Linked DNA regions of Rattus norvegicus. The protein of the gene in region 6 binds, or shares a complex with, the protein of the main gene of each other region. Links are inferred from orthologs where the notes say so. Each region holds a gene or a part of one and is shown on either strand. Other genes may lie near its edges. The genes, in order: Rbm15b, Cbll1, Mettl14, Wtap, Rbm15 and Zc3h13.

Evidence for each region.
Region 1: Zc3h13 (region 6) and Rbm15b share a complex: the UniProt entries of both Homo sapiens proteins name them as parts of the WMM complex. The link is inferred for Rattus norvegicus from reciprocal best matches to the Homo sapiens genes ZC3H13 and RBM15B.
Region 2: Zc3h13 (region 6) and Cbll1 share a complex: the UniProt entries of both Homo sapiens proteins name them as parts of the WMM complex. The link is inferred for Rattus norvegicus from reciprocal best matches to the Homo sapiens genes ZC3H13 and CBLL1.
Region 3: Zc3h13 (region 6) and Mettl14 share a complex: the UniProt entries of both Homo sapiens proteins name them as parts of the WMM complex. The link is inferred for Rattus norvegicus from reciprocal best matches to the Homo sapiens genes ZC3H13 and METTL14.
Region 4: the proteins of Zc3h13 (region 6) and Wtap are in contact, whole or in part, in a cryo-EM structure (PDB 7VF2), measured with the Homo sapiens proteins. The link is inferred for Rattus norvegicus from reciprocal best matches to the Homo sapiens genes ZC3H13 and WTAP. Residues at the interface, in NP_001317494.1 of Homo sapiens: Arg1512, Pro1514, Gly1515, Ala1516, Ala1517, Leu1518, Lys1520, Phe1521; in NP_001257460.1 of Homo sapiens: Asp202, Glu203, Asp206, Phe207, Gln210.
Region 5: Zc3h13 (region 6) and Rbm15 share a complex: the UniProt entries of both Homo sapiens proteins name them as parts of the WMM complex. The link is inferred for Rattus norvegicus from reciprocal best matches to the Homo sapiens genes ZC3H13 and RBM15.

The regions. Positions count from the first base shown.
Region 1 is NC_086026.1:116,422,575-116,426,783, forward strand, and holds the start of Rbm15b (putative RNA-binding protein 15B), read right to left. Parts: upstream 2,801-4,209; 5' UTR 2,697-2,800; coding exon 33-2,696; 3' UTR 1-32. UniProt on the Homo sapiens protein: RNA-binding protein that acts as a key regulator of N6-methyladenosine (m6A) methylation of RNAs, thereby regulating different processes, such as alternative splicing of mRNAs and X chromosome inactivation mediated by Xist RNA.
Region 2 is NC_086024.1:53,809,986-53,813,977, forward strand, and holds the start of Cbll1 (E3 ubiquitin-protein ligase Hakai), read right to left. Parts: upstream 2,801-3,992; 5' UTR 2,779-2,800; coding exon 2,766-2,778; intron 1,978-2,765; exon of another isoform or gene 638-1,977; coding exon of another isoform or gene 472-637; intron 1-471. UniProt on the Homo sapiens protein: E3 ubiquitin-protein ligase that mediates ubiquitination of several tyrosine-phosphorylated Src substrates, including CDH1, CTTN and DOK1. Targets CDH1 for endocytosis and degradation.
Region 3 is NC_086020.1:214,214,665-214,218,038, forward strand, and holds the end of Mettl14 (N6-adenosine-methyltransferase non-catalytic subunit), read right to left. Parts: intron 1,933-3,374; coding exon 1,628-1,932; 3' UTR 501-1,627; downstream 1-500. UniProt on the Homo sapiens protein: The METTL3-METTL14 heterodimer forms a N6-methyltransferase complex that methylates adenosine residues at the N(6) position of some mRNAs and regulates the circadian clock, differentiation of embryonic stem cells and cortical neurogenesis.
Region 4 is NC_086019.1:50,069,510-50,073,772, forward strand, and holds the start of Wtap (pre-mRNA-splicing regulator WTAP), read left to right. Parts: upstream 1-1,463; 5' UTR 1,464-1,648; intron 1,649-1,748; exon of another isoform or gene 1,749-1,882; intron 1,883-1,924; exon of another isoform or gene 1,925-2,231; intron 2,232-4,263. UniProt on the Homo sapiens protein: Associated component of the WMM complex, a complex that mediates N6-methyladenosine (m6A) methylation of RNAs, a modification that plays a role in the efficiency of mRNA splicing and RNA processing.
Region 5 is NC_086020.1:197,639,898-197,643,867, forward strand, and holds the start of Rbm15 (RNA-binding protein 15), read right to left. Parts: upstream 2,801-3,970; 5' UTR 1,933-2,800; coding exon 1-1,932. UniProt on the Homo sapiens protein: RNA-binding protein that acts as a key regulator of N6-methyladenosine (m6A) methylation of RNAs, thereby regulating different processes, such as hematopoietic cell homeostasis, alternative splicing of mRNAs and X chromosome inactivation mediated by Xist RNA.
Region 6 is NC_086033.1:57,075,781-57,078,740, forward strand, and holds part of Zc3h13 (zinc finger CCCH domain-containing protein 13), read left to right. Parts: intron 1-319; coding exon 320-483; coding exon of another isoform or gene 484-500; intron 501-2,960. UniProt on the Homo sapiens protein: Associated component of the WMM complex, a complex that mediates N6-methyladenosine (m6A) methylation of RNAs, a modification that plays a role in the efficiency of mRNA splicing and RNA processing.

The DNA.
Region 1 (4,209 bases), on a different chromosome or scaffold from region 6:
TTGTGACACAGACAGCTGGAAGGCCAGGTGGGCTAGGCGGCGTCTCTTACTATGACTATCACCATGTGTTCTTCCTCTAACTTGCCCAATGTCCGAAGTGCTGACTGGAGGTACTGCTGTGAGAAGTCGCAGGGCGGGAAGGCATAGAGCATGCCAGTGCTGTCTCTGCCCTTAGACCCACCCACCGGCAAGCTGATCACCCCTGCAGCCTGCTTCTGTTTTAAGTAGGAGACCAGGTTCCTGAGAAGCCGCCTCTGCAGGCCTGGCTCCACCATGGGCATCCCCTCAGCGCCAGGCCCGCTGGGGGTTGACTGGATGGCTAGGAGCACAGCATAGCCGTTAGGGCTCCCCTGCTTGATGCGACGGGTGACCTCATCCAGTTTGGGCTGATCCAGGCGAAGACGCTGGGCAATCTTTAGTTGGGTCAGCTTGCTGCCAGAAGTGTGGTCTTTGAGGAGACCACTGATAACCCCCTGGTCCCCCTCAAGGATGTGCATAGAAGTCGGAAAGCAGCTGTTTTTCAGCACTAGGAGCCCATTCCAACCCAGCTGCAGTGTCTGTGCATACTCTGACAGAGTCTTTAGCTTTTTGGTCTCATGTTTTGGCTCTTCAAGAGTCTTGGGCTCTGCCTCAGTGGTCCGATGATTGCGTTCACTCTCTCTAGTCTTTTTCCCATGGGAAGAGTCTGGAGCCTCGTGGTGGTGGTGATGGTGGCTCCTTTCCTCAGCACTATGTCTGCTGTTGCTGAGGGAGTTGCTGCCTGACTCCTTGGTCCCTTCACTGGAGTGGTTCTCCTTTCGGCTACGCTCAGGGGTGCGGTCCGAGCCTCGCTCAGACTGCTGCCCCCCACCCTTGGTCCTGCTCCGTTCCTCATAAGGGGAGTGAGTTGTCCTCCCGCGGTCACTGGAAAGGCTCCTCCGCTTTCGTCTCTCTTCCCAGGGCTTGGCTATGCTCCGGTCCCCATCTGCCCCCCAGCGCTCACCACTCCGGCTTCGCACTGAGCGGCTATAGCCCTCCAGGCTGTTTCTGCGGTCTGAACTTTTACTAAGGCTGGTCCAGTCCCCTTCCAAAAAGGTCCGGTCTCGATCTGAATACAGAAGGTGCGGAGGGGTCCTGTCCCGCACCCTAAGGTCAGCATCCAAGTTTCGATGCCGGGTATATCCATCAGTGAGCAGCTCATAATGCACAGGGAGAGGTGAGGGCTGGTACTGCTGGGGATATCGAGTCTCCTCTGCTTTGGCAAAATCCACCCGGAGCCTGCGATCTGGACCACCCAAGGGAAAGCCCCTCATTTTAGCACAGGCAGCTTGGGCTGCATCCAGGCTCTCGTACTGGATGTAGGCAAAGCTGTCTCCTTTGACGTGATCGATGGTCCGAATGCTCCCAAAGCGATCGAATTCTCTGGCCAGGGCCGCCAGCGAGGTGTTAGGTCCAAGACCACCCACCCAGAGGCGGGTGGTAGGGTTAGCCTTGCCGTAGCCTATCTTTATAGGGTTTCTGCCAATCACCCGGCCAGACATAGCCACCTTGGCCCTGTGTGCCATGTCCAGGTTCTGAAACTTAAGGAAGGCATAGGCACCACCTTGGCCGCGGGCAGGCCTCTTGATGACCACCTCCTCAATGATGCCATACTTCTCGAAGGCCCGTCGAAGCTCCACTTCAGATACACTGTGGTCCAGGTTCCCGATGAAGAGATTTCGAGTGGCTCTCTGATCATCCTCCGGCATCAGGTCCTCCTCGCACACGGCCTGGTAGCTGTACGGGCGCCCGCGGTCGTCGTACAGCCCGTAATAGTCCAGGGCTCGCTCCCGAGACAGTCCCACGGCAGCCGCGGCAGCAGCATCCAGGGCGAAGGCTGCCGCGGCGTGCCGCGCACGGGGCTCCCGCAGGGGCGGGGCGGCTACCGGAGACAGAGAGCGCTGCTTGTACTGGTAGCCCCCGTGCAGGGGCAGATAGCCCAGAGGGTCCGCGGGCGTGGGAGGCCCTGGGGGCGGCGTGGAGGCAGCGGCGCTGCTGCTGCTACTGCGCCGACTGCTCCCGCCGCCGCGCAGGTACACGGGCTCTACCTTGAGCGGGCGGTCGTAGAGCAGCAGCTGACGGGCCAAGGCGTGCTGGCGGGCCTCACGCGCGTCCTGTGGGTGCCGGAAGTTCACATAGGCCACGCGGCCCAGCTCCGGTGTGTGTGACAGGCGCAGGCTGATCTCACCGAACCGCTTGAACTGGTGGAAGAGCCGGTCCTCCAAGTGCTCGGCCGGCAGCGCGGGGCTCAGGCTGCTGATGAGGAGCGTCTTGTACTCCGGAGCCGCCGTGGTACCGGGACCCGCAGGTTCCGCCCCGGGGGGCGGCGGGGGCGGCGGGAGTGGAGATGCGCGGGGCGACGCGCCCCCAGCACCCGGGTCCCCGGAGGCCTTGCCGGTGCGTCCTCCGCCTCCGGGCGCGCCTGAGGAGCGCCCGCTGCTTGCTCGGTGATTCGCATCCCCAGCAGCGCGCCCGTCGCGATGTCCGCCGCCTCCGCCACTGCCGCGGGGCTTGTCACGAGCCCGCGCTGGAACCGGGTGCTTGGTGCCGCCGGAGGCCTTGTGCGCTGCTCGCCGCCCGCCCGCCTCTGCCTCCCGTTCGCGCTCCCGCGGCCGCTTGGCGGACGATGACGAGCCACGCCCGCTCGGGCTGGAGTCTCGCTCGTTCTGCCGCTTCATTGCGCCGGCTTGGCGGGCGGGCGGCCCGCGGGTCCCTCAGAGCGGCAGCGGCGGCAGCCCAGGAGGCAGCGCCCCCGGCGCCGCCATCTTGGACAAAAGGACTCGGCGCGGCGGCAGCGGCGGGGCGGGGCGGGAGCGGCGCCGAGGGGCTGGGAGCTGCGTTATCAAGCTGCGCCGGCCGTACCACGTGACCGAGGTGGGCGGGACGAGAGTTTCGCTCGCCGCCTATCACCGGGCTCCGCGGGCCTGTACCACGTGACATCTTGGCAAACAGAGGAGCCCGCCTGACTGCGAGCTCTGGCGCCGCTGCGTGGTTGGTAGGCACCGGGCTACCGTGTTGGGCGCGGATTCCCTCTGGAGCCTAGCAGGCCCCAGCTGCACTCTGGCTCTGTGCTCTAGGGCTTCCTACACCAGGTCCGCCTACCTTTGGCGGACTCGGGACCCCGCCCACTGGAGCAGGTGTGGCTGCTTGGCCGGAAGCCAAGGGTTGTATCCCACTCAAACCTGCCACTAGGTGAAGAAATTCTATTCCCTTCCATGGAGTTTTCTGACTGGGACCAGAAGTGGCATCCTTGAAGGTAGACACACAAGTATCCCTACACCCTGTCCAGGACCCACATCCAGGCCATCTTGTGCATTCAGATTCTTCCGGCACTGTCCTGACAAGACTCTGAAAACGAAGACTATCCACACAGGTGAGACCTCCCTAGGTCCAGGTACATAAACTAGAAAGAATGCGTTTGCAACCCACAGACAGGCATCTTGGTGCCACTGGGTCCAAATTTCTGCTGTAGGTAGGTGTCTGGGCAGACAGGAGACTGGAAAGGTGGGGTGGCAGAACCAAGGGTAAAGCACAGGTAATGGCGTTAGTTATCACTTCTTGCCATGTTGACATCTTGCTGGCCAGTGTCTTGGCCACATCCAGGAGGTGAGGTGAAGTACCGGCAGGGGCACCCAAAGGCTGCTAGGGCTTATGTTCTCCACAGATGGTTGCGGATCCATTGATGTATCTGTAGAATGATGAAGAAGGCACCCAGCCTTCCCTCCTCCCATAAGCAGAAAAGCAATCAGCAGGAGAAAAGTGCAGGAGGAACTTGGAAGAAACAGCCGAGGGCTTCATGGCAGAAAGTAAGGCCCCGTTGATACAAAGTGAACTGGGGACCACAGGAGAGCTAAGACGCGCTCTTTGGAAAAATGTAACTTCTTAGCAGTCACTCCTTTCACATGATCTTTCGAGGCAGCAGGAGCAAAGTGTCCTTACTGAGGCACAGGTCACAAATGCCAGCAAGGGAACAACTGAAAACCGTGCTGCACAACTCTCCAGGCCCTCTGGGACAAGTTCACACTGCTCCATAAACTGACTCCTGCTAGACTCGCCAGAATCCAGGAAAGCCAGGGGCCCTGTCTGATGCCAGACTGGAACCCCAATGAATTAATAACAAGTACCAGGCAGAGTAAAGAAATGCTAGTTCTGACCACCTGCACTCAGTGCAGACAATTCTGCTTGTTCTGC
Region 2 (3,992 bases), on a different chromosome or scaffold from region 6:
AATCTTCAAGACTCCACTAAAATGGAATGTCTTTCATGTATTTCAGCAGTCTCCACTGCATTTGCTCACCCATATAGAAATACCTACATAGATCTATACAGATCTATGACAGATACTTTTTTCCCCTTGCACAAAATGTATTCTCAACTTTCCAAAGAACTGAAATAGCCAACATGATGCTCTTCAGGTATCACAAGGATTCTTAGTGTGTTACTTCTGTGAATGAAAACAACACACTTTACCTGCCCAGCCTTTGAACCAGCCCACATAACACAGTTCTCCATTATTTAAACAGTAGCCTGGCCCTTTCACGAGCCTGTTTCTAAAGCTACTGTTTGTCTCACAGATTTAAGTGACAAAAATCTGAAGTTTGTGTGGGGACACCCATACATAGAAACAAAACAACAAAACACAAAGCATGTAATAATTATCTGGATAAGGGATAACAAGAATAGTTTAAAGCAAATATACCTTTATTATATAGTTTTAAAAACAACACATTTAATATTTTATCTTGAATAAAAGGAGCCAAGGAACTGAAGGCAGGTATGCAGCTCACTGATAGAACCTGTCTAAGGTACTGAAGGAAGGTTCTGGGTTCAGGTCGGTCCCCAGCGTCCATCTCTCCAAAAAGCATGAAGCAGTCTTTTACAAAAATTGGGCTACTTTTACCTAAGCACTGATTATCTCTGACAATGACCAAAGAATGAATCAAGTGTTTGCAGGATCTTTATTGGCCTGGGTGCCTCTGAGATGTAGGATCATGGGGACAGAGCTGGCCTGAAGAGCTGCAGGGACATCACCTTTTTTGCTGCTTCTTTCCACCCCAGAGGGCCCTCAGCTCACTGCTAACACTTCTGCAATCCAGAGAAACACTAATGTCTTTGCCATTTAAAAATATTCTGAAAACTTTCTGGCAAAATTCTACTCCAATACTTCCATTTAAAAGACCTCTTGATCCTTTGACATTAAAATCATTATTTTGAGATGTCTACTCAGTCAGAAAACTGTCAACTAACTAGCTGCCATTTCTTGATTTAGTCTTTGACTTAATTTGATTTTTTTTCTTCTCAAAATGTGCAGCAATTGAAACTGAAGCACTAGGAGACTGTGTTGTAACTGATTTAAAATCTAGAAAAGCTACCATTAAACAGAAAGGAGAGCTGTCTGGAAACTTTTTTTTTAACCTAGCTAGCTCAGTAGTGATTGTTTTCGTGTTAGAATGACTGTTCTTATCTCTCCAGGCAACCTTTGGCTAATAACTTAGAAACTAGGATAATTCTTTTACACAGTTCTAGCGGGATCTCATTTCTCTCACATACTTCCATAAACCCATGAGCAGCTGCTGGATCGCCACCAAAATATTTGTGGCAATTGCCTACTCTCTCAGTCCTGCTCCTACTTCCCCTACAGCGTTGCTGGGGACCTGCTAGGTAAGTTGCTCTACCACTGAGTTTTGCTTTAACTGGGTCTCCCTCTACGGTAATGCAACCACCACATAGATTATTTATTTACCCCCGTTCTTCCTCTCCACCATTCTATATAGAAGAATAGGAATTATTTTTTAAAATATTATACTCCCTTTTGTTCAGCTGCTTTGTAGCCGCTCAAACTCTTTATCGTGATTTTCAAAGTCTTGAAAAAGGTAACTTGTATTTTCCTTCTCAACTTAGGACTAACTAAGCTACGGACATTTGGTCTTCTCTATATCTTCCTACCATTCCAAAGTGGGGGGGGGGGGCCCTTTTCCTGGTACTCTCTGAAATTTCTTACTCCATAAGCACCTGTTTCTTAAAGTACTCACCACAATCTATAAGGAGCTTTTAAAAAAGAAACCAACCTGTCTGCCTCCTTTGACAGAATGCAAACTCGAAGACAAGGACGTAGTCCTATTGTTTACTATCCCATCATTCTATCTCCAAGCCTACAAGTATCTGCATGCAATTACATAACTAAGTGGTGTTTGAAGACTGCGCGCATCTCAGTCAATTCCTAAAGAAAAAGCCTTTCCTCCTGCTTGGCGATATAACTGTCTGAAGCACTCAAAGCCAAGCGCTAAAACTAAAACCAAGAAAACGAAGCCAGCAGAAACGAGGTTTGAAGCTACTCGCAATATAAGATGAAAATATCTTGATCTTAAAAATTCTGTATATATCCCCAAAAGATGCGAAAGAACCACGGCCGAAGGGCGGGGCATGCTTTGAGTTCAGGTAGAAAAAAGATGCTCCACTTATAAGTTCGAAAACTATATCCGCCTTTATTCTCTAACTACCAGTCCGCGAAAAGCCAACAAGACAATAACCACAGGAGATGACCACTACAGCAGCCGCCCGAAGCTGAGAAGCAGCAGGAAGTCTCCAACCCACTCTCGCCCACAGTCCGGACGCTTCTCCAATTCCGAGAGTGGAAAACACCCGCCTATTTCCCCAGCACAAAGTGCAAAGCAACCGGAATGAGAAAAACAAAAACAAAAACACAACAAAACTGGGGCCGTCCCTTTCCAAGAAGCCTGCGCTGCGAAGGGTTCCGAAACGAGCTCAGCGGCACCAAAGAAGCGGTGCTGCCGGTCTCGAGGATGGAGGCACCGCTCCGAGGGTAGGCCGGGAAGCAGCAGGCCCAGTCCGGGACCGGGCCTGAGCTTGCTTCCTCTCCGCCACGTCCCGGCGCACTGGGGCGAGCGTAGCCTCTTGTGCCTGCTGGGCGACCAGTCCCACACGAGCCACGGGGGCAAGAAACTAGGACCCCCGCTGCCTCCGCCTCCTTACCAGTGTGATCCATGATTCGGCTCGCAGGGTACAGTGGGAGCGGAAGTGAGTCGCTCCGGAGTCGCAGCAAGCGCGTGCGCCCTACCTTCCGGAGCGCAGAGGCGGAAGTGCGCTGGGACTGCTCTCACTGGCTTCCCTTCCTAACCGCACCATCCGACTTTGGTGAGGGAGTCACACATAGGCAGGACTGAGGCAGGAAGAGAGGGGACACGAGGGCTCTGGTGCCGAGACTTCTAATTCTCCCCAGAGGCTGCCCTCAGCTGTAGGAAGGATATCTATTGCAGTGGGAGAGCAATAGGAACCAGAGGGAAGCGAGGCAGGCAGGTAAGCCGCCGCCCACCCCCTGCGGCGCGAGGCCTTCTGGGATTTGTAGTCCACCCAGAGTGCAGTCTCAGCCGTTAGGCTGGTCCCACCCCACCGGGCGGAGTAACGGTTTGGAATGCCCCCCGGATCCGCCGCTGGGTATAGAGAAGTGTAAACACGCGCGCTCCGTTCTTGCCCGAGGGAAGCTGAGTTAGGTGCTGGGAGGGAGGAAAGGTTCTTATTGCCTAATCAGGCTTTGTCCTGATGAGCCCCAACGCCCACTCGACACGCGCGTTCGCCCTGGCTCTTACCGTAGTTTCTCAAACTGAAATGCGTGTATAATGCTGACTAGCCCCTCGCTCTAGAGAACACCAGGCGCCTCTAATCCCTGCAAAAGCTGTAGGGAGTTCCAGGTTGTCCCGGTCCATCGAGGATGCAAGGCAGTTGTGTGCAGAGAAGGTGAAGGAGGGAGGATAGGAACCGATGGAGTCGGAGGGAAAGCGTTAGGGCTTGGGCAGAGGGAAGAAATGAGAAAGGGCAGGCCCCGACTGAGGAAAAGAGAGTTACCAAAACAGGCGGTACCTAGTTCCAGTTCTTGGTCCCTGGGGTCTGTGGTTGCTGCTTTCATCTTGCTCAGCCAAAACAAAAGCAAGTGTCAACGGCGATTGGTGAGGACCTTCAGAGCACCCCCCACCTAGATTTGGCTCATAATAGGTCTTCTCCCCTCTCCAGCCCTTCACACTTGAAGCTCTCAGATGAGTAGAAAGGAGCACAATTAGTGGAAAACATCAGCCTAGGAGTCAAGGGATTTGGGCTCTATGGTCGTCCCTTGGTGACGACATTGTTACCTTGGGTTGTTCACGCTTTCAGTGCCAGAGTTCCTAGATCAATAAAACATTATTATATTGGCCTCTTTTAAAAAAA
Region 3 (3,374 bases), on a different chromosome or scaffold from region 6:
AACCAGCAATGTTCCTATCTGAGTACGTGATGGAGGGTTTGGGAGCAGCAGCAATATGATCATCCAGGAAATGAGTCTTCTGCTGAAGAAATGTTAGTTTCTTATGAATGTTATGAAGCCGCAAATCTTGCTTCGCACCAGATTGTTGCTGTCTTTTATGCTCAGAATGGGAACACAAGAATCTGATGTGCGGGGAAGGGATATTCCTTAGTCAGACTGAACAAATGGGAGTTCCTATCCCCTCCTTACAGGTCAAATCTGACACACAGCCCTGCCTTTGGATAATTTATAATTACTGAAATTAAAAACACCACCACAGCAAATATTCTAACCACCTGTGAGAGCCAAACTCATCAAGCATTTAAAGTGTAAGGCCTTCCAACTGTATTTCCGTGGCTGTCCATGAGACCATATCTGACAAGTGGAACTCAGATGTCACTTTAGGTTGGTCCCTTTTCATTTGGTAACAATAGTAACTGCATTTAAGGAAAACAAACTCATTTCAAAGGTTTAAACTTTTTATTAGAAAAGTATAGCAAAATAAAAAAAGGAGTTACCATGAACAATAATGATATTATCTCATCTGGCATAGCCAAATCCATTCAAACATGACTTAAGGTGTAGAAAAACAACAGTATGAAGCTTTCCACAGCCAAGAGATCCGAACATCAGCCCTGCAGAGACATCTGCACCACACAGCTCTAATCAAAGGCAACTGCAACCCCATCTCTCAAGCTGTATCCTTAGGGTTTCTATAATTGCTTTTACCTAAATTTTGTTCAATAACAACTTTAAAGATGTATGTCATTTCCTCATCATCAAGCGTTTATTTTCTAGATTGTTTGAACCATCCCTCCCCCCAGCAAATCTGTTTTTACCTTTGCTAAGAAATATGAATTGTCTTAGAAGGTCAGTCCAAGTTCAAGATCACACACAGCCCTCCGACCTGACACGTGCCTGCCTCCTCTTGCTTCTTAAGAAGCATGATTATATGTCATCTGCAGCTGTTATTTACATTATGATAACTTTGGTTTTTGTTTTGCTTTTGTTTTAAATCTAGGAAGCTCTGCCTCTTCCATTACCTTCCCTGAGGGCTCCAGCCCCGTCAGATTCAGATCTGGAAGAAAGTGACTTCATTTCATCTCTGAGTCTTCAGTACTCAAATGATACTTCATGTTATTTTTTAGAATTTAAAAGGGGGGGGGGGAACTACATCTTTTTAGTGTTTTAACAAGAAAACATTAAAGGCCCCAAAAAGGGTGACCGCCTCTCTCAGTTCTGCTCTGCCCAGGTTCCCAGTCTCCTACTGCGGCTGCGGCAGCCACGACAAGGAAAGAGCACCATTCCTGCCATCCTCCTCTGAGAGGTGCTCCACTGCGCTCCTATTTCCAAGAAGCCAAAGCCTTGAGTGAAATCAGTCAAGCCCATGACTGAGTGTTGCACACATGTGACTTACCCTGAGCAGAACCACAGTCTGTGACAACTGCAAGGACCTAGGGGTGGGGGTGGGTGGCTAAGGTCTTTCTGGCAGCATGAGAAACTAAAGCAAAGTGCAAGCTGGGAGTGAGTTCTGAAGCAAGTCTTCACAAAAAAGATCAGAGGGGACACTGTTAAGCGTTTGTAACAGCTACCGAGGTGTAAAGCCACCTCTGTGTGTCCCTCCACGACCCCCCCTAAAGCCACCTCTTTCTCCTCGGAAATTGGATCGATTTCGTTCACGACCACGGCCAGCAGATGTTCCCCCTCTCCCTCCACCTCTGGGAGCTCCACCACCACGGTCAGACTTGGATTTGGGAGGAGGTGACTTCGGTCTAAGCCTCTCAATTTCCTCGGTACATCCAGTCAAGTATGAATTGGGGGCACTGAAGTAGGACGCGTAGGTTTCTGCATTGTAGTTACTATTTGTAAGCGTTGGTCCAACTGTGAGCCAGCCTGAAACAAGGGGGGAAACAGAAAACATTTCCATCTCCTTGCTCTTTTGTTGGTCCTTTAGGAGCTAAGTCCTTAACACATTCTCAAAGATGGCTGTTACACACACAGCCACACCTCTAGTATACAGTGTACCACACCAACGGTCACCCATATTGTAAAAGTTTTGTATACACACACCTTGTTTCTCATTCTTATGTTACATGTCATCCAAACCGTTCCTTATCTATTATGTTGTTAGAATACCACTTATAAAAGATATTTCAATACACAAATGTTTGGGCTGGGTAAAAATTTGAGAAAATATATACATATATCTTTCCTACTTATGAAAATGAGGCTACTGGTTTTCTCATTAAGTCTTGACGAAGGAAAATGTGCTTTTCTTTTATACAAAATGTCCTCATTTCTCAGGTCTAGGATCCAAACAGCCATGCTGCCCCTTCTCATGCCGTCTTTCCACAGGCAATGAGTTTTCTCACAAGGAGATACACACATAGCCAAGTCTGTGAAAAAAATGTACACCACTACTGATAACTAAGCAAACAAAAGCACAGTGAGGTATCATCTCGCTGCGGTCAGAACTCCCCTCAGTCAGAACAGCTGTGATCAAAGGGGAAAGGACCGGTATGGCTGGGGAGGCTGCAGGAAGTGGAACTCCCACACGCTACTGAGAGGGAGGTGGATTACAGTAGTTATTATGGAACACGTTATGAAGGTTTCTCAAAGAACTAGGAGAGGCGCCACAGCAGCCAGAGCCCCTACTCCGGGTACACACCTAAAGGAACTAAAACCAGCCTGTGGTACGGCTCACACAGCAGTGACCTAGGTGTGTGTCCACTGATGGAGGAATGGGTAAACTGAATGCCATGTATCCCATTGCTAGAATGGGACTGGAGGGCATTATGCTAACTGAAGTAAATCAGGCAAAGAACACATACCACATATTCTCATTTACAGGTGGAAACAAACCGTGCATCTGGAAGATGCAGAGACTAGAGCGGAGGTTATGAAGGCCAGGGAAGAGTGAGGGGAAAAAGCCCACAGACCGTACAGTGAGGAATCCAGGACATAGCAATGCATAGCTTAGCTAAGGGAACAACTGAACACTTCAGAACAGCATAATTTCCCAGTACAAAGAAGTGAGGCGATACGTATGGCAAGTGCCCCGACCTTACTACACACACACAAACCTCACAATGCTCCCAAATATTCGGATAATTATGGTGTTAAAAACTAAGTGGAGCAGAAGGCAGAAAACGTTCTCACTGTAACATTACAATGGTAGGCATACACCATAACCAACTCATTTAAATCCATAGACACCAGCAATATCAATCCTAATATAAATTATGGACTTTTGTAGTTATGAGAACTACCGAGGATGGGGGGAGGCAGAGAGTGTATGGGCATTCTCTGCCTTCTCGGTTTGATAAGATAAAACT
Region 4 (4,263 bases), on a different chromosome or scaffold from region 6:
CATTTGTTTATTATATATAAGTACACTGGGGCTGTCTTCAGACACACCAGAAGAGGGCATCAGAGCCCATTACAGATGGCTGTGAGCCACCATGTGGTTGCTGGGAATTGAACTCAGGACCTCTGGAAGAGCATCCAGTGCTCTTAACGCTGAGCCATCTCTCCAGCCCTGTATCTTATTTTCTTTTACACTAGAAATCTTTGGAGAAAGTAACATTGAAATGTTTGTACTACAATAAACATAACTTCAAAACCACAGCAACAATGTTATAATTACAAATCACTTAGTGAAACTGAGTGATTCTTAGGTATCCACAGGCACAGTGCCAGAGTGTGAAACTCAAAACACTGTAGCTATATATATTCTTTGTCTATGTCTCAGTTCCACTGCCAAACTGCTTAAGAGTCAATTGGTTCGTTTCAATTTACTTGACTTTGAAGGGTTTTTACCTTTTGTCTTCATAAATTTTGAACTCAGAGAAGCCTTGCTTCTACCTTTATCTCCTATAGCCATTACCACTTTTTGAGTAAGTATTAAGTTTCTGCAATATCCTTCTGTCTTCCCAGTATGTGCCTACATATATGTGTATATGTATTTCTACACATTGCTTTATTCACTCAGCCCAGTAGTAATTCCAAAGTAACACATTAACTATTAATGACTGCATCCCTACCAGGATACAGGATTTCAATGTGTATTTCCATTATAAACAAAGTTGATCCTCCTCCTACGATATATTTAAGGACATCTTCTCTGTGAATCATCTGTTCATGTCTTTTCCCATTTTCTTTAGTTTTCCAAGACCTTTTTTTCTCTTAGCCTAAGTGGAACACCATGGCTCCTCTGGTCATCTGGTCTCTACTGTAATTGTGTACTTATAAGTGATCTCAGCCAGGACACCTTCGCTGGGGATTAACTGCTCTCATAAAACCGACTAAACCTAAATATGACTGTCCCATCTGGGAAGTGCTGAAGAGACTGCAGACTAACGCCGTTCTTGCTGTAATCCAGGCGACTGTCTTACTGGAGTGATTTCTCGGACTCCAGAATCCTCACTCTGCTGCCTTCTCCGGGATTCTGGTGTGCGATCTGCCCTGGAACGTCCCACAGGCGCAGCTTCCTTGCACCTCAACTTAAGCCCAGAGACGCCACAAGGAGCAAAGCCGGCGGCCGCAGGGAAAGCGGCGGCTTCTAAGGCCCCCAAACTTAGGACGAGGGGCGCTTAGGCGTGAAGCTGCTGTCTCCGCGTTCCGGCAGCGCGAGCGGAAGCATCCTGTGCTATGCGGCCTGCAGCGAAGAGCCAATCACGCGCTCGTCGGCTCGGATTCCTCCGCCCAGGCCGTGCTGCAGCCGCAGGTGGCCCCGCCGAGCGTGTCCGGCAGCGGCCGCCGTCCCGTGATGCCTCGCGGGTGACCTCTGACCTCGCGGGCCCGCCCTTCTCTCCGGCCGCTTCCCTCCCCATCCCGGCTAAGCTTGCAGAGCCCCCACGGGGCAGGTGCGAACCTCCGCGGACGGTCTCGGTGCGGCTGCGGAGAGCCGCTTGCCCCTCCGCGCCCCGAGACCCCGAGCGGGCCGGCCTCGCCTCGTCTCTTCTGGCCGGAGGCACCGGGCACGGTGACCGAGGCGGCGCCCGAGAGGCGCGTCTCGGGTGAGTGGGCCACGGGCGGGGTATCGGCGGCGCACTCGGGGCGGGGCGCACTCGAGGCGGGGCGGGGCCGACGGCGGGGCCTGGTTTCCTCCCTCAGCGCCATTTTGTGGCTGCGAGACCCGCAAATAAAGGCTATCTCCGGGGCTGCGGCGGGAGGAGTGCGGGGGGGGGCCGGCGGCGGCGCGGCCTCGGCCTGTGTGACTGGCGGCGCCCGCGCAGCCTCGGGCTGGGAAGGTAGGTGCGGCCCGCGGCGGGAATGGCCACGAGGGCCTGCAGGGACGGGAAGCGAGGCGCGGCCGCCCTGGACCCGGCGAAACGCACTCCAGGCCCGAAGGGCGACCGGGCTTGCGGCCGCGCTGGCTTCCCGTTAGTCAGAGCGGTTTGCTGCTCGTGGGGATACTTGCACCGTTTCACAGCCATTCTGCTCCCGTTCCTGACGGCAGGGGACAAGGCGGGCGTTCCCGCGACTGGGGAGGCGGGGAGGCCGGAGGCCGCCCTCTCGGGGCTGACTGGCCATGCCTGTCCTTTCCCCGCCTCTGTCGCCCCCTCCCACCTTCCAGGGTTCGTCACCCGGGACCTAGAGGTACCGATAGTTCTGTATGACCCAAGTGATGCATTCGGTTCTTTAAAAAAAAAAAAAAAGGAATTTCACGTCACGCAGTAGCTTGTCATTGCAGCCACGTTCTCATGTGGACTTCCATTTTTACATAAGTATGCATTGTGAGAGTAGTTAATTTTTTTGACAGCTTCCTGAAATTTTTCGTGAACTTTTAGTCTAGTTTTGGATCTCTGTAAGGCTGATTTGACTATATTTAAACTTGATTTTCATAAGACAGTGCACAGTGAGAAAAGACCTAAGTTTTTCTGTTTGTGTACATATTTTCTTATTGGGGAGGGCGGGGGCGGCTAGGGATGGAACGCTAGGCCTTGTGCATGCATGTTATTAGGCCAGCATTCTGCCATTCATCTAATCCCCGAGCCCACAGTTCTTGGTTTGATAATGAGGAAGTCAGTTAATTTGACCCCAAAGGACTAAGACACTGCACACTGGTTGTAAGGATCGGTGAGCATGTTATAGTCGTAAATTGTATTTATGCCTTTTTTGTCGTTCTCACTATAGCCTCGCTTTTTTCATTTAGTTAATTTTATTATTTGGAAAGATAAGTGGAAGTCACAAATCAGTTACTACAAATTCTATTTGTTTTTCACTTTAACTTATTTATTTGAGCATCGGAGCTGGAGAGTTGGCCCAGGAGTTAAGAGTACTTTTTGCTCGTCCAGCACCCAATTGATGGCTCGTGGCCATCCTTAACTCATGTTCCTGGGAATTTTGACTTCCCTCTTCTGACCTCTGTGGGTGGCACCAGGCATGCACGTGATGCACATACATACATGCAAAACATTTACAAAAAATTTTTAAAAGTACTTAATTTTAAAACCATGCACCAGGTTTTCTCATAGGTAAATATGTAGGCATCTGAAACTATTAAAAACAGACATTTTTTGAGGTGGCTAGGTTTCATTCATTCAGCAACTATTGCTCAGGCAAGTTGGGGAAAGTTGCAGTCTACAGGATGGCTTCTGATGTGTTGGAACTGAATTTTAAGGATTTGGGCAGATGTGTTTCTGAGGGTGCTTTAGTTCTTCATTCTTAAACAGATGAGTGTGTTTGAACACTACTTAAATTATGGTTTGTAATAGCCATTTGATGTATTTGGACAGAGCATTACCATTTTCAAGGTCCCTCCTGTCTTTTTGTGTATATAATGTAGACTCTTGAAAATATTGTTAGCCGCCTAGATAATTGGTGTAAGGTGTAGTTAAATTTATCATGCTCTTTAGAAGTTTTACTTGATATGCATTCTTGTTTTTATCTCCCACTTTCTTCCTCTAAATACTTCCTATTTCTTTTCATTAAGCTTGGGAAGTTTTTTTTTTTCCAGTATTCCCATCATTGAATAAGCTATTGGTGTTAGGTGTTAGGCATTTCCATCAGACAAGATTCAGTGTTCTTTGCTTTAAAGATGAAGTTGGTAGAGTTTATTTCCTGTGTTGATTGTGTTCAGGCAGTCCTTGTTTGTATAGTGTTTTTATGGTACCAATAACAGACCTGCAGTACTTTGTGCCCTAAGCAACACTGATGTGGAAACTGAAGCCCAAAGAATTAAGTGACTTGATCACATAAACAGGAGACTGAAATAGTGTTCTGATTTCTAACAAGTCCCCTTACTCCTGCAGTGCTGAGGCTCCAGCACTGCCAGACGATGCCATTTCTTAACATCCACTGTGATTTATTTCAGCGAGCCATATACATGCCTTCTTGCATAACTTACCTTGGCGTGTGGTTGCCTTTCTCCAGAGAGTACTAAGTTGCCTAACTTAGGATCATAGTGTTATGATCTGGGATGGTAGGCACTTAGTCAACTAAAGCAGTTCCACAGCCTAAGCTAGGCTTTAAGAGTGGATGGCATTCTAAACTGAGATGAATTCTCTGAACTGTCTACACAAATAAGTTTAAAGTTATAGGTGTTTTGTCGTACGTCTGGAGTTAGAATTGTTATGAGCTACAGTGTGGCTGCTGGTAATCGAATCCAGGTCCTCTGAAGGAGCAGTCA
Region 5 (3,970 bases), on a different chromosome or scaffold from region 6:
AGGCAGCCTTCGCTTCCTTGGCTGGTCCCTGCTGCTAGGCAAATCCCGGTCACCTCTGTCCCTGTCCAGTGACCAGCCATCCCTCCTTCGATCCAAGCTATCCAGTGGCTCATAAGCAGTGACGGCACTAGTTGCAGCCCGAGCACTGCGTTCCCGAACCGGTGGCGGGGGTGGCACCCAATCAGAATCGGGATAAAGGTCCCTATCACGATCTCTGTATAGTAAGGGTGGTGTCCGGTCCCGAGCACTCCTCAAAGGGTCAGGTGCTCGATGTCCAAAAGTATCTGTCACTAGTTCATAATGGGTTAAGGGCAGAGGCTGAAGATACTGCTGCTGGTAACGATGTTCTGTGTCTGCAAAGTCTACCCTAAGGCGACGATCTGGGCCACCAAGTGGGAATCCACGCATATGGGTCCAGGCAGCATGAGCTGCATCCAAGCTTTCATACTGTATATATGCCCAACTGTCACCTTTTCGGTAGTCTATGGTTCGAATGGTGCCAAATCGATCAAATTCTCGTGCCAGGGCAGCAAGAGGCACCCAAGGTCCCAGACCACCCACCCAAAGTCGGGTAGTGGGTGTGGCTTTCCCATAACCAATCTTGATTGGATTCCGAATTATAATTTTGCCAGACATTGCTATTTTGGCCCTGTGAGACATGTCTAGGTTCTCAAATTTGAGAAAGCCGTAAGTACTGGTCTGGCCACGAGAAGGCCTCTTAATGTCCACTTCTGTGATGACTCCAAAACGATCAAAAGCCCTTCTCAGATCATTTTCTGTCACAGTGATATCTAAGTTGCCCAAGAAAAGTGTCCGGTTGGCACGCTGATCATCCTCAGGTGATATCTCATCCACTTCTCGGAATGGAGCAGCACCTGCTCCAGCTCCCACCCTCGGCTCAAGACTATATGCTGGCCGCACTCTGTCATAGAACGGATAGTCTCGTTCTCTTTCCAGCTCTCGGGGCAATGGTGGCGGGGGTGGAGGAGGCAGGCGGCCAAGAGCCAACTGCTGCAACCGGTAGTCTCTGTATCCCAAAGCAGCACCGCCAGGAGAAAGCGATCTCTGACCTCCACCTCCTCCAGGGGCGTGCCTGTGGCTACCTACAGAGCTTCCGACCACGCTGGACGACGGGGCGTAAGTATCTTTGTCTAACGGGGAGCGGCTGCGGCGCCGGCTCACATACACGGCTTCTATCTTCAGAGGCCGGTCATAGAGCACCAGGCGGCCTCTGGCATGCTTGGCCGCCCTCGCGTCCTCTGGCCTCCGGAAGTTCACAAAGGCTACCCGCTCATCCCCGCTGCCAGAACCTGAGAGATGACTGATTTTGACACTTACATCACCGAAGCGTTTGAACTCGTGAAACAGTCCGTCCTCCACCGCTTCGTCACTCAGCTGGGACCCCAATTCGCTTATCTTCAGGGTCTTGTACTCCACGCCGTCCCCGCCGCCAGGCGCTGAGGAGGCGGCCCCAGAGGAACGTGACTCCCCGCCTCCACCCCGGGAGCTGCTGCGCGACTCGCCCCCGCCTGAGGAATTTTTGGTGCTTGGGGAGCTGTAACTATGCAAGCGGCTACTGGAGCTGCCCCCACCGGTATCATACTCGCGGCTGCCGCCTCGGCTGCTGGACTTGTCCAGATGAAGGCTCCGCCGCGACCCGCCGCTGTCCGTCTTCCCGCTGCTGCTCCCATTGCTGCCGCCAGAGCCCCCTAACTTCTTGCTCCGTTCCCCACGAGAACTGGAGTCCTCACCGCCACGGGAGCGTTTGGGCTTGACTGGCGAGCGCTCCTTTCCTTTCATTGTTGAGGGTCGCCGGAGGTCGTCTCTGCGGAGCTGACTAACCCGCCACCCCGCGCTCGTTTCACACAGCGGACTCGCACGCCGCCATCTTGGACTCCGCCGCGGCAAAGGCTCCCGCCCCGCAGACCTCATTGGTCAATTAATTCACTCTTCAGCTTTCTCATTGGAAAAACTATTTGTCCGTCTTTACATCTCCCCGCGCTCCGGGAAGGCGCCCGCCCCGACGCTGTTATTGGGTTCCCAACGCCCTAATCGCAGTACCTCATTGGTTATATTCGTTGTCTATCTTAACGGTTCCTCGCGCCAGGCTGTAGCTCCGCCCCTCGCACTTCATGGTCACCTGACCCAAAGCCTAGAAGCGTTGATTGGACAAAAAGTCTGCCCTGTAACGGTACTTCTAGCACGGCGAAAGCAGCGATCCCACCTTCTCTTCCCTTTCATTGGTTTATGGCCACGTCCTTTAAATCACTACTTGGGAAGTCTGGACATCAGTTCAGGCGTTTTTCCCTGAGAACTTGGCTCTCTCGGATCTCGCGAGAGACAAAGAGCTCGCTCGCTCACTCGCTCGCTCTCTTTCAACCCCAGTCTTCCAACTTCTCCGGCGGCTGAATAAAGTTTAAATCTGATTGGATGTTGACGAGGAAAATGATTGGATAAAAGCGCTGTCCATCACTCACTTAAAGGAGTAGGCCCATAAACTGAGGAGTCTGAAGGTGAAAGACTCTACCACGCGCTTGCTGTGCGACGTCACTTAGCTGTCGCGAGACGGTGACAGTGAGTCAGGCCCGCCTCCCCGCGCTTTCGGCGTTCTCTTAAACATTTGTTAGGTCCTACGGCGTACTTGCCTGTGCTTCGGTCCTTCGAGTCTGGAACTTGCGGGCTCCGCACTGTCCTGTCTGGGCGGGACAATGGGCTCGGTGGTCCTTCCGGCTGCTGGCCCTCGATCCGCTTAGGCAGCTGTCCCGGGAAGTCCAGCCGACACCATCTTAGTTAGCAGCCTGAAAAAGCCCCACCCCCGTGCGCGAGAAAGCGCCTGCCCCGGTCTGTGCGGCTGGCTGGGGCGGTGAGTTCAGGGTTCACTGAGCCTCGGGTCACGCTGACGCCCTGGGCGGTACCGAGTCACAGCCCGCCCGCGGACATAGGAAACAGAGCGCAGCCCTGGCCGCCTTGGGCCCGGCAGTGACCTACACTCCGGGCTTCCGGGCCTACCGACTGGTCTGACCTGCAGGACCACTTGCAGGCCTTTTTTGCTTCCTGATTTATGTTGTGAAAATGTGTAGGATTTGCATTCATAAAAGATTTGTGAAAGGTAGCTGTGCTTAGCTTTAATATGTAACGCTTCTCACTGTGCGGGTACTACATTTATCTCGTTTCTTGGACCTCAGCACTCCGATTAATCCATATTAGGATCCAGTAACATGGCCACCTTGTCCCCTCCTAGATCCCCCTCCTTTGACTCCTTTAACCCTGATTCAAATCTAAACGTCTCCCCGCCACCAACTTCGGTGACCCCATGCATCTGTAAGGAGTCTCGTAAGCTTGTGTAATACTGGTGATCATAAGATTAGATGGGTAGGGGTTGGGGATTTAGCTCAGTGGTAGAGCGCTTGCCTAGCAAGCGCCAGGCCCTGAGTTCGGTCCCCAGCTCCGAAAAAAAGAAAAAAAAAAAAAAAAGATGGATAGTCTATACCACTGGTGCTTACCTCCTGGTGAGGGGAAATAGGCTTTTTTTTTTTTTTTTTTTTCTTTTTTCGGAGCTGGGGACCGAACCCAGGGCCTGGCGCATGCTAGGCAAGCGCTCTACCACTGAGCTAAATCCCCAACCGCGAAATAGGCTTTTTTGCAGTCTCCCCAAATATGTACCTTGAAGACATTAGAAAGATTCTGGTATTCCCATCTTTTAAGACTGAGTTGAGAATGTGTTTTAAAACAGGACATTTTACAAGGTGATAAGAATGCCCCCCCCAAAAAAAACCCTTAATTCTAAATTTAAAAGCTATTTGAAGACTAGATACAGCAACCTGATTAGCCCTATTTCAGCCGATTTGTTTTGTTAGTATATAATCTTGAAATTGGTGAATACTTGGTCCAAAATCTCTTGATTACATCAAAAAGATTTGAAAGAAGCCTGATAGGTAAATTATAAACCCCAAAATACTATAAAGCATAG
Region 6 (2,960 bases):
ACTGCTAGGCCACACACTGAGTTTGACTTAAATGCTCTTGCTTCACCTTTCTCCAAAGTCAGTAGTCAATGGCCTTATTCTCCCTCTGAAGACTGCTTTTGGCACATTTTAAATCTAAAACAACATCACACTATTGTTCTTACTAAGATGAACAAGGTACCTATGTGTTGAAGATCCTTTTATGGGGAACTATTGCTGCTAGCTTTGACAAGTCATTCACTAAGGTTTAGTAAATGAGGAGGTCTTGAAGTATTCAGTTAAGTCAGTGGTGACACTTACCTTTAAGGGAAACTTAATGTATGCTTGTTTTGATTGAAAGATGCAGACAGCCTTTTTGAACATGAACTAGGGGCTCTCAACATGGCTGCTTTACTTCGAAAAGAAGAGCGGGCGAGTCTCCTTAGTGACCTGGGACCATGTTGTAAAGCATTATGTTTCAGACGGGATTCTGCAATCCGGAAGCAGCTTGTGAAGAACGAAAAGGTACCACGCAGTGGTTGGTAGGAATAGTATGTTCCATTTTAACTGCTTGTGACTTTGCTTTCCTAGTCCCCAGGCACCTAAAGGAAGAACCCACATGGTGCTTGTTGAGTGGTAATTGTCATTCCAAACTTCATGCACAGAAAGTCTATTCATTCGTGAAATGTTTGCATGTGAGCAGAGCTCCTTAATGTAAGCAGACAGATCAGTCTGTGTATAGTATTTACTGCAGAGTAACAAAGGTGGTTTGAAGTCAGAAAGAGGAGTTTCTTTAGATATGAGAAGGATCTGATGAAAGAGTCTTAGGCTTTTTAAAGTTAGAAACTGGGACTGTAGGTGAATGTGGCCGACATGGGCAGTATGACAGAAGAAACTTGGTCTGGTAAAGTTAGAAAAGCACTGACTGAGATTTTACAGGAGTCAATAAGAAAACATTGATTATCTTTCTATAATATTGCTATAAAGAAAAATAGATTTGAGGAGATTAAATTTATAAAAAAAAATGATATGAACCCTCTCTAAAGATTAAAATGAACACAGGAGGAATGGGAGACTTTTTAGAAAGTCAAGTCTATGTGGCTAGAGAGCGGCTCAGCGGTTAAGAGCATTCACTGCTTTCCCAGAGGGCTGCGGTTCAGTTCCCAGCACCCTGTCAGGTGGCTCATAGCCACCTATAACTCCAGCTCCAGGGGATCCAGCACCCTCTTCTGGCTTCTGTAGGTTCTTTCTCCCTCTCCCTGTTTGTCTCCCCCTCCTTTATTCCCTCCTTCCCTCTCTATCTGTCTCATCTCACTGTCTTCTCCTTCTCTTCCCCCTCTTCCTTGTCTGTCTTTCTCATCTGTCTATCTTCCCCACATAAAGTCCTGATTAAAAATGGCTTTTGAAGAACAGTCATCATTCTCCTTTGCTATTTCTGTTTCGCATGTCCTTAATATCTCTCATTCTTCTGCCTGGGCACCGTCTCTCCTGGCAGCCTTTCTAAACTCAGCATTTCTCTCCTAAGCACGTATGTAGTCAGTCCTCTTTGTAGTTGGGCACTGATAGCAGTCACCACCATTCTATTATTATTTCCGTCTTATATTACACTTGCATCCTGTTATGGCTGATTCTAATAAGGAGTGCCAGTATCTTCAGGATACTGCCCACTTTGTGTAAAATATATTTTATAGTTCTTGTTGGTTCCTCCCTAATACACTGTTGTGTCCCTCAAATACAGTAGCAACTAAAAAGCCCTGAAAAGTCTCAAAGAGAATTGTTTAGAACCTTGTACCTTGTAATTCAGAGTACAGATAATTAATGGACCATATTACACATTGTGACGTTTAATGACTCATTATAAATGTCTTAATTGATCCATCCGCAGAAAGAATTGTGAGTGTTCCGATTTCTCAGTGTTAAAGACGTTGGCAGTAGCTGGACCTGGTGAACTCTGTTGTGTAGCTTGCGAACTCTGCTGAGGGGAGGTAGGAGGGTCTTGAGCTTGAGACCAGCCGAGGTTATAAACATAGCACAAGCTGAGAAAGGGACAGAACTGAAAGCAGTTTAAATGCTCCAAAGCCCCGTGAGAACACTGAGATTGAGCTTTGTGTCACTATAAAAGAGAAGAAGAGAGCAGTGCTGGATTCTCCTCCAGGGACAAAAAGTGGGAAAACCATTAATTACATATTTGACATTGTAACTTTATGGGAAAATTACTTTGAAGTATTTACATATAAAGCACCTTAGGAAAAATTAAGAAAACACATAGCTATTGTAAATGAATTTTAAAATCATTTTAGCATTATAATATTAGAGTAACACAGCAAATAAAAGGAAGGATATAATAGCAGATTAAAAAAAATGGAGATAGAAGGACATTAAAAAATTCATAGTAAAACCAAAAGCTGGGCTTTTTTGTTTGTTTGTATGTTTGGTTTTTTAAAGAAATTAGTCGTCTCCCAGCTAAACTAAGAAGACGTTGATGAGCAGTAACGAGAAGAAAAATTTCAATGACATTATGAATGCCATAGGGATAGGAGGATAGTAGGGGCCTGGGTGTGGCTCCATGATGAAGGGATTGTCTGGCAAGCTCACGGCTCTGGGTTCAGTCCTCAGCACTGAGCACCAAAACAGAAGAAGAAAAGACAAAGGTTGAGTTTAACGTTCAGTTTAGTAGCAGTGAATAGACTGAGTCCTCAAACTACGAAATCTGTGTAAGAATAGAAGACTTAAGTAGCTTTATATCTACTTCAGTACTACTCCTGGACATGCATGCTTACAAGTCTGCTATATATTACAAGAAAAGAAAAAGCCAGGATAATAACAAAACAAATACTGATTCTACACAGTGTTTCCAGAAAGAAAGCAGCAGGGCTCCTTCCTAGCTTATGTCACAGTCCAGCATTGAGAAAACTGCCGTTCATCCCCTCTCATGTAGACAGTCGTAAAGATCCTACACAATGTTGGGAAATCAAATTAAGAATAAATAAAGTGAACTCTGT